Linked DNA regions of Caenorhabditis elegans. The protein of the gene in region 2 purifies or fractionates together with the protein of the main gene of each other region. This does not show direct contact. Each region holds a gene or a part of one and is shown on either strand. Other genes may lie near its edges.

Region 1 (3,755 bases), on a different chromosome or scaffold from region 2:
CATGCGCCAGTGCTTTAGATATTTCGAGAAGTGGCGCAAACTCCGTTTTCGCCATTTTTTGACTTAAAATAAAAATTCTCCAATTTTTGTTCTGAAAAGTTGTACCATGATACTTCCGCACTCCGCCTTTAATTAAACGGAAAAATTCAATGTTTTATAACTTTACAAAATTTATCCTCAAAATCACAATGAATGAAACATTTTCCGAGTTTCATTTTGAATTATTTATTTTATTGTAACAAAACGTGCATTTTAATAACCCTCTTTGCTCCGAAGATGATGGAAAATGTGTTCCCGTCGTTTGAAATAATAAAGTCATTGAACGAAAAACGTTTACCTCTGCTTATTCCCTTCAAAAAATTTTCTTCGGAAATTTCCTCCAAATTTCCTGTTTTCCACTACTGCTGTGTTATCGTAAAGTTAATATCGAGTTAACATTAGTTGGTACTTACAAAAGCAATAAATGGTTCGGTTCATTGTGAATGTGGCTTCTTTGTCGTTTTCTTGTGGAAAATTGCTTTCCTTCTTTTAGGAGTCTCCGACTGCACAATGACTTTACAGGAAATTATTTTTCGGCCCGGTTTTTTTTGTCTTGCAAAGCTTCTAAAAACCTGGAGCTAAAAGTGTTTCGTTGGATTTAGTTAGAACGAGTCAAAATGAGTATGTGTAAAAGAGATGAACAGACTACGTTGCGGAATTTTTTTTTTGAAGACGCGTACGAGCCTGACTTCCGTCCCCTCTTGAATTTCGTTGGTGCTTTGTGGTTTGTAGTAAGTGCATCAGAGACACGCCAATAAAAGCGAAGAGTGCTCTAAAATGACATGGAGTACCTTTACCTCCGTGCTGGATTGAATTACACTTGAGAATTGGAAGAGAGCACAACTACATCTGGTTCCTAATCACAAGCGTGCTTTTTCAAATGCACTTTATTTGCAGGTGCCCTCCCCGTGAGTTATGAAATTCAACAGCAGCGCGAGTTGCAATCTTTCAGAGAGCACATTTTCTTGAGATCTCCCTCGGGAAGACTAGGCAACGCCCGTCTCAAATGAAGCTTTAGATGAGATGACGTATAGTGTGTTGCCAAGTGAGTTTTCACTTTTTAAAATAAAATTGAAGCATGGAAAAAAATAAATGGACCAGATAAAATTTGATTCGGTTTTGTCCAAAAAACTGCAGAAACATTTCTGAAATTCTAGGCGTGAGAGAGAGAGAGTACACAGTAATGAATAATTCAACATTCTCAGTATATGGGGTGAAATTTGAGTAAATATTTGAAACACTACTTTGGGATCTTGACTTCTACAAATTTTGAATGGAATACCTCGAGAATTTATTTGTGATACTGAATGAATGTAGGTACTTTCAAGGTAAACCTGCACCAAATATGTTTATCATTTTTAAAATTCAACGTAATTTTTTAGTTTTAGTATTAGTGTTTTCTTAACCTGAGAATGCAAATCAATTTCCCATTTTGATTAAATTATCAGGTGAGTGGAAATTGAAAAAAATTTCTGAGACAGGTACCAAAAAAACTGAATCCCTGTATTTGGAAGATAGATCACTCCTTTTCTGAAAGATCTTGTGTTTTCGCGTCAGAAATATTTACAATCATTAACTCGTCTTTCCATTAATATTCATGAGTACTCAACTTTATTACTACCCAATACATCACTTCCAAAAACTTGGTCTCTAGCTATAAAAAGTGCGAAGTATGAAGAAAATGAAAAAAGGAAAGGAAAGACGCACTTCTCTAAGAAAAAAACTCAATTAAGCAACCTGGACTTGTCACTGAGAACAAGGACAAGAGCAAGAACAAGTATCGAAATAGAATGTTTGTACGTACGTTAATCGTGAATTCTCTTAGTGTGTGGCGTACCCCTTGGGAGAAATGTTTTCAAGTCCAGTGTTCACTACTATAAGCTTCCCCCCGTTTTCCTATTGCCCAATGTCTCCTAGCCTCCTCAGTCGGCGCCAAAGTGGGCGGAGCGCATTGGCGGCGCTGCCTGCGCGCGCTTCGGACACGACCGTCGTCGGGCGAAGCACACAGAGAGCAACTCCTCGGGTTTTGGTGAATCAGTCGGTCGCCGCCGCCGTCGTCGTTTTTGGCAGAGCATATTATTGGTGTGGAGCACACAATGTCCTAACTCTCATGGCAATATGATGCGCAAGCTACTCGTCATCTGCCTTCTGACGGTCTATGCCCAAGGGGGTCAGATTCCTGTGCCTCCCATATTTTCACCATGCAACTTCCCATCTCCGATCACCGAACCTAGTTTTGTGAGTTCAACTTTTTCATGTTTTATTTTTTTATTTGCTGAACTTTAAAATCTCCCCTCAACTTTTAAGAACCAAAAAAGCTTTAGCTTCAAATTTCCAATTTCTTTTCTAGAAAAACTGAGGTAGGAAGAATGAGAAAAAAGGAAAAATAATTAGCATTGTTCGTTCTGAAAATGCAAAAATAAGATAAATTATACATTCCCTCTGTTTTGCCCTAGGAGGGGTAGCCTTCGTTCCATGTGCCCCACAAATCACTCAAGCGTTCGTAAACCTTGCAATTAGAAACCCAATTATTTTTTGCTGCTCAGTATTGCTTTATTGTTTATATATATATATATATATTTTTTCTGCGCCGTATCCTACTTTTTTCCACTATACTTCTCCTCCTTTCTCCTTTTTCTATATACTTTGCGAAAAGTTGAACGGCCCTCCAAAACTCGTCGAGGAAGAAGGATGAGAAAGGAAAGCCGCGTGGAAAAGACGAAGACGTCGTGCTTTTTTTTTCTATTTGCATATTGAGCATTTGCTCATCCTTATGAAACCAATCAAGTGAAAGACAATCGTTGTTTTTTTTGTGTCCGTAGTCTTAGATTTACTCTGGCGATATCCGGAAGAATGACGAATTTCGAGTTTTTTTTTCAGAGATTTAATTGTGCACTAGAGGGAGGAAACCCCATAGTTTCGAACTTTTGACTTGTGATTCAAAATTTGACACTCAAATTTTAAAGTCAAGACCTACCCGGTGAACTGCGTGAACGACATTAGTCATTCTTGTGGTCTCCTTTGGAAACCACAAGGTGAACAACATCGTCTCGCCGCCCCGTAAACGCAATTTGTGAAAGCCGAAAAACTCAAACTCCTTTTCTCTTTTGTATTGAAAACCACAAATAGAAGAAAAGGAAATTCCTCGGCGACAACAAAAAAGAAATTGTGTCCCCCCTCCCTGCCTTTCTTCTGCTTATGCTTCCTTCCAGGTTGCTCAAGGACCCTCGTTTATTGTGTCGCAAAAAGTTCACAATTTTTTTTTGAAGGACTGAGGAGCCGAAAAACTTTGTGAAAAGAAGAGTTTGATCTGAAATCAACAATTGTCAAAATTGTCAAAAACATTTTGCAAACTCCCTAAACTTCTTGAGATTTATAGAAAAAACCTGAAATGTATTTTTAGCATAGGAGTAATTTTGATTCTCCTCCAAATTGTCAGCTCATCTCTGTAGACCAAAAAAAAAAGTTATGCAGACAAAAAGGCACGCGACTCAAAAAAAATGATATATACATACACATGTATTTATTTGACGTCTTCCATCATATTTTATTGTGAAAAGGAAAGAAACGACCACCACATCCATTTTAGTTGATGCGAGCCATGTGAAACACTTGTCAAGCATATATTCATGAAAAAAGTCACTACGTACTCAAAACCCGACAGAATATGTTATGCATATGTGAGGAAGGTCACGGGGGTGAAATTGTAAATTTCT
Region 2 (3,755 bases):
CCCGGAAACAACGGAGAAGGAGGAAGAGATGGACCACGTGGAGAGCAAGGAAGACCAGCAATCTCCACTCCAGCTCTGCCAGGAGATCCAGGAGCACCAGGAGAACCGGGACCATCTGGACTTCCAGGAGATCAAGGACAAGCTGGTAAGTATTAAATATCAATTTTATAAGGTTCAATATCATCAAAAAAATTTTGTTTTTTTTTTCAGGCCGTCCAGGATCCGACGGTGCGCCAGGACCACAAGGACCACCAGGTCCACCAGGCCAACAAGGTCATCCAGGACAAGCCGGACCAGCTGGCCAACCAGGACAGCCAGGACCACAAGGAGAACGTGGAATCTGTCCAAAGTATTGCGCCTTGGACGGAGGTGTCTTCTTCGAGGACGGAACACGTCGTTAAGATCGTTAAGATCCGATCACTCATTAACTTATCTCTTCGTGGTTTCCCACCCACGCCTCTTCTTTGCCTTCAGAGTTCGGGTAAATCCGTGCTGTCTTTTCTCGTTTCTTTTCAACTGTATTTGTACATTTATGAAGAATTTGCAACTTCGTATATAAAATCTAGTCGTTTATAGAATTTAAAAAAATCAATTATTTTTCGGCTTGTTATGGAGAGTTTCTGAAAAGTATCATATGTAGGTATTTTGAAACTTTACAATAAAGAACTTACTAACGAAATTGTGCAAATCAGTCATTGGTAAGTTGGAATCAGGTGTTCCGTCGTACTTTTTGTACGGGTAGATCATTCCACGATCCTTCCATTTTGAGAGCATGCTCAGCACAACTACACCAGTTGAATAGTGAGCACAAAGCCCGAAAATCTATAAATCTGGAGTAGTTACTTAGAAGTAAGAAGGACGCTTACCCGACAGAAAACATTATTCTTCGGGCTGACTTCTTGGAATTTCAAATTATTTTTCCACTCGACGATTCGATTTCGTGGGCCTGTTGGGATGGGCTCTTCCACTGGCTTTTTGGGTCTGAAAATATCCAGAGTTTGACCAAAAAATACATGAATGGTTGCACCTTTTTCCTAGAGTTTTCCAAACCTTCCAGAACTTTTTTTAAAAGTTTCCAGAAATTGCTGTCTAGAATGTTTTTTATTCTGCCAAATTTTTTCCCGAAAAATTTAAAATCCCGCCAAACTTTTTTTGAGGACAATTTCAAATGAAATCCCTTGAAATTTGTCTCTGATAAAATTTCAATTTCCGCCAAACTGTTTCCCAGAAAATTAGAACCCCTCCAAAATTTCTCTCAAAAAATTTGAACTCCCGCCAAAATTTTTCCCAAAAAATTTGAAATCCCGCCAGGCTTTTTCCCGAAAAATGTGAAATCCCTCGGAATTTTTTACTCGGAAATATTCAACCTCGTCAAAATTTCTCTCCAAAAAAAAAATCAATTACCGCCAAAATTTTTCTTAGAAGATTGAAATTTCAGTATTTTTCTAAAACTACAGTAATCCTAAAGTACCCCAACCCTATCCCTCCATTGAGCTCAACCCAATATCCTTTCAAAAAAATATGTTTACCTCAAACTACAGTAACCCTACAGTACTCTTACAGTACCCCAACCCTATCCCTTCACTGAGCTCAACCCAATATCCTTTCAAAATAAAAAATCTGTTTACCCAAAACTACAGTAATCCTACAGCATCCCTATAAGGATATATATTTTCAGAGTGTGCTCACCTGAACTGTGGTAAATCAGCCTTGGTCCAAATCTTTTTCGCATCAGCAGACAGCAAAATAACTATAACAAATACGAAGAAATTCGGAAAAATCATGACAGCTGACAATTATTAAAATTTGATTTAAACTGTTGAAAATGAAAATGTTGAAGTGTTTTGAAGGGAACACACGAAGTGGCATTGTCCAATAAACAGGTATTTTTGTGACCTTTTCCGATACTTTAAAGTAAAAACACAAAGGTTCAAACAAATAATATTCATTTAAATCAATAAATTAATCAATTAAATTGCATAATAACAGTCCTTCTTCCAGAAATTAATTCCGCAGACCAATCCGAAAATGAGAAAAGTGGTAGGGATAATGGTGTATAGAGCAATCCAGAGAGGTCCATAGAAGTTCAACGGTTCAGGTGTGAACTGAAAAAAATATTTTTTTGAGGATTTTTTTGACTATTACGGGAACACAAAATTCAGTCAAAAAAATTCAAAAATTCGCCGCGCAAAATTGTGTGCGCCTTTAAAAAAATTCGTTACCACAGTAACGAATTTCCAAGTTTTTTTAAAAGATTTTTTGCACTTTTCTATGGATCTTAAGCCATTTTTGTGTATTACGGAAACAAAAAATTCAGTGAATGCGTATTGCACAACATATTTGACGCGCAAAATATCTTGTAACGAAAACTACAGTAATTTTTTAAATGGCTACTGTAGTGTTTATTTACGAAAATTGAGCCCGTAAATCGACACAAGAGCTACAGTAGCGGCAAACGATCTTTGCCGGAATTAAAAATTTCTGGCAAATCGGCAAACCGGCAAATTGCTGGAATTGAAAATTTACTGCAAATCGGCAAACCGGCTAATTACCGATTTGCCGTATTTGCCGAACAATTTTCGACAAATTGTGGTTTTGCACCTTTTTTTTGGGAATTTCAGAATTTCATTTCCAAATGGCAAAACGCATCCTATGAATGTTCTTTCATCTATTTTGAAAAGTAAGCAAATTCTATGAAAATATCTAGAAAAAAAATCGAAAATGAATATCTCCGGCATATCGGCAAACCGGCAATTTGCCGGAATTAAACACTTCCGGCAAATCGGCAAACCGGCAATTTGCCGATTTGCCGACTTTGTCGATAAATCAATTTGCCGAACGGCAATTGCCGCCCACCCCCCATTTTTTGTAGATCTACGTAGATCAAACCGAAATGGGGCACAGTGTGGTTGCACAGAAACTGTTACTGGAACACAAAATTTTGAGAATGCGTATTGCGCAACATATTTGACGCGCAAAATATCTCGTAGCGAAAATTACAGTAACGGAAATATTTTATTAATCGATTAAATATTGAAAGAAAAAACAAAAATGACAAAAAACACAACAAAAAAATTCAAAAGAAAATTGAGTATTGCTGTCACAATTTGAGCAGAAATTGAAATTAATTTCAAAAATCAAGCCCGTAAATCGACACCAGAGCTACAATAGTCATTTAAAGAGTTACTGTAGTTGTCGCTGCGAGATATTTTGAGCGTCAAATATGTTGTGCAATACGCATTCTTAGAATTTTGTGTTCCCGCTTTACATATTCACGACTATACACTCTACTAGAATTTTTTTCTAGAATTTTTGAATTTTTTACATTATTTTTTAGTTCAATTATGGCTTTAAAATCAGAAATCAGAAATAATAATACAACATACCATAGGATCCACAAAGCAAGTGCCAACTGAATTAGTGAATACACATACAGATGTACTTGAGCAGTCCCTGAAAAAATCCAATTTTCAATCAAAAAATAATCAGACTTTTACCGGTTACTCCCACAATATCTCTCTGTGTCAATGTTATCCGACCCATCTGCCATATACATTCCAAGAATTGCTAATCGATTAGTGTCACGTGTGCAAAACGTGTAGCGGAATGGCGGAGCCTCGTAGGGACTGCATTTTCGATTTGTATAATAGGGTCTTATTCGGCGGGCTACTGTAGATCCGTGGACTTTGTCTGAAATATAGTTTCCAGTGTGGAAAGTTTTAAAAGATATTTTTAAAGATAATTTTCCGGCAAAC

What was found. The genes of interacting proteins can lie anywhere in the genome.
Region 1: the proteins of ZK1010.12 (region 2) and AH9.6 fractionate together in Caenorhabditis elegans (co-fractionation; one large-scale study listed by BioGRID). This does not show direct contact.

Annotation. Positions count from the first base shown.
Region 1 is NC_003284.9:2,266,448-2,270,202, reverse strand, and holds the start of AH9.6 (uncharacterized protein), read left to right. Parts: upstream 1-2,064; 5' UTR 2,065-2,157; coding exon 2,158-2,277; intron 2,278-3,755.
Region 2 is NC_003281.10:12,989,326-12,993,080, reverse strand, and holds ZK1010.12 (Secretory peptide), read right to left. Parts: upstream 1,785-3,755; coding exon 1,690-1,784; intron 982-1,689; coding exon 867-981; intron 823-866; coding exon 672-822; exon of another isoform or gene 621-671; coding exon 589-620; downstream 1-588. Other genes in the region: col-97 (Nematode cuticle collagen N-terminal domain-containing protein), read left to right, coding at 1-145, 211-401.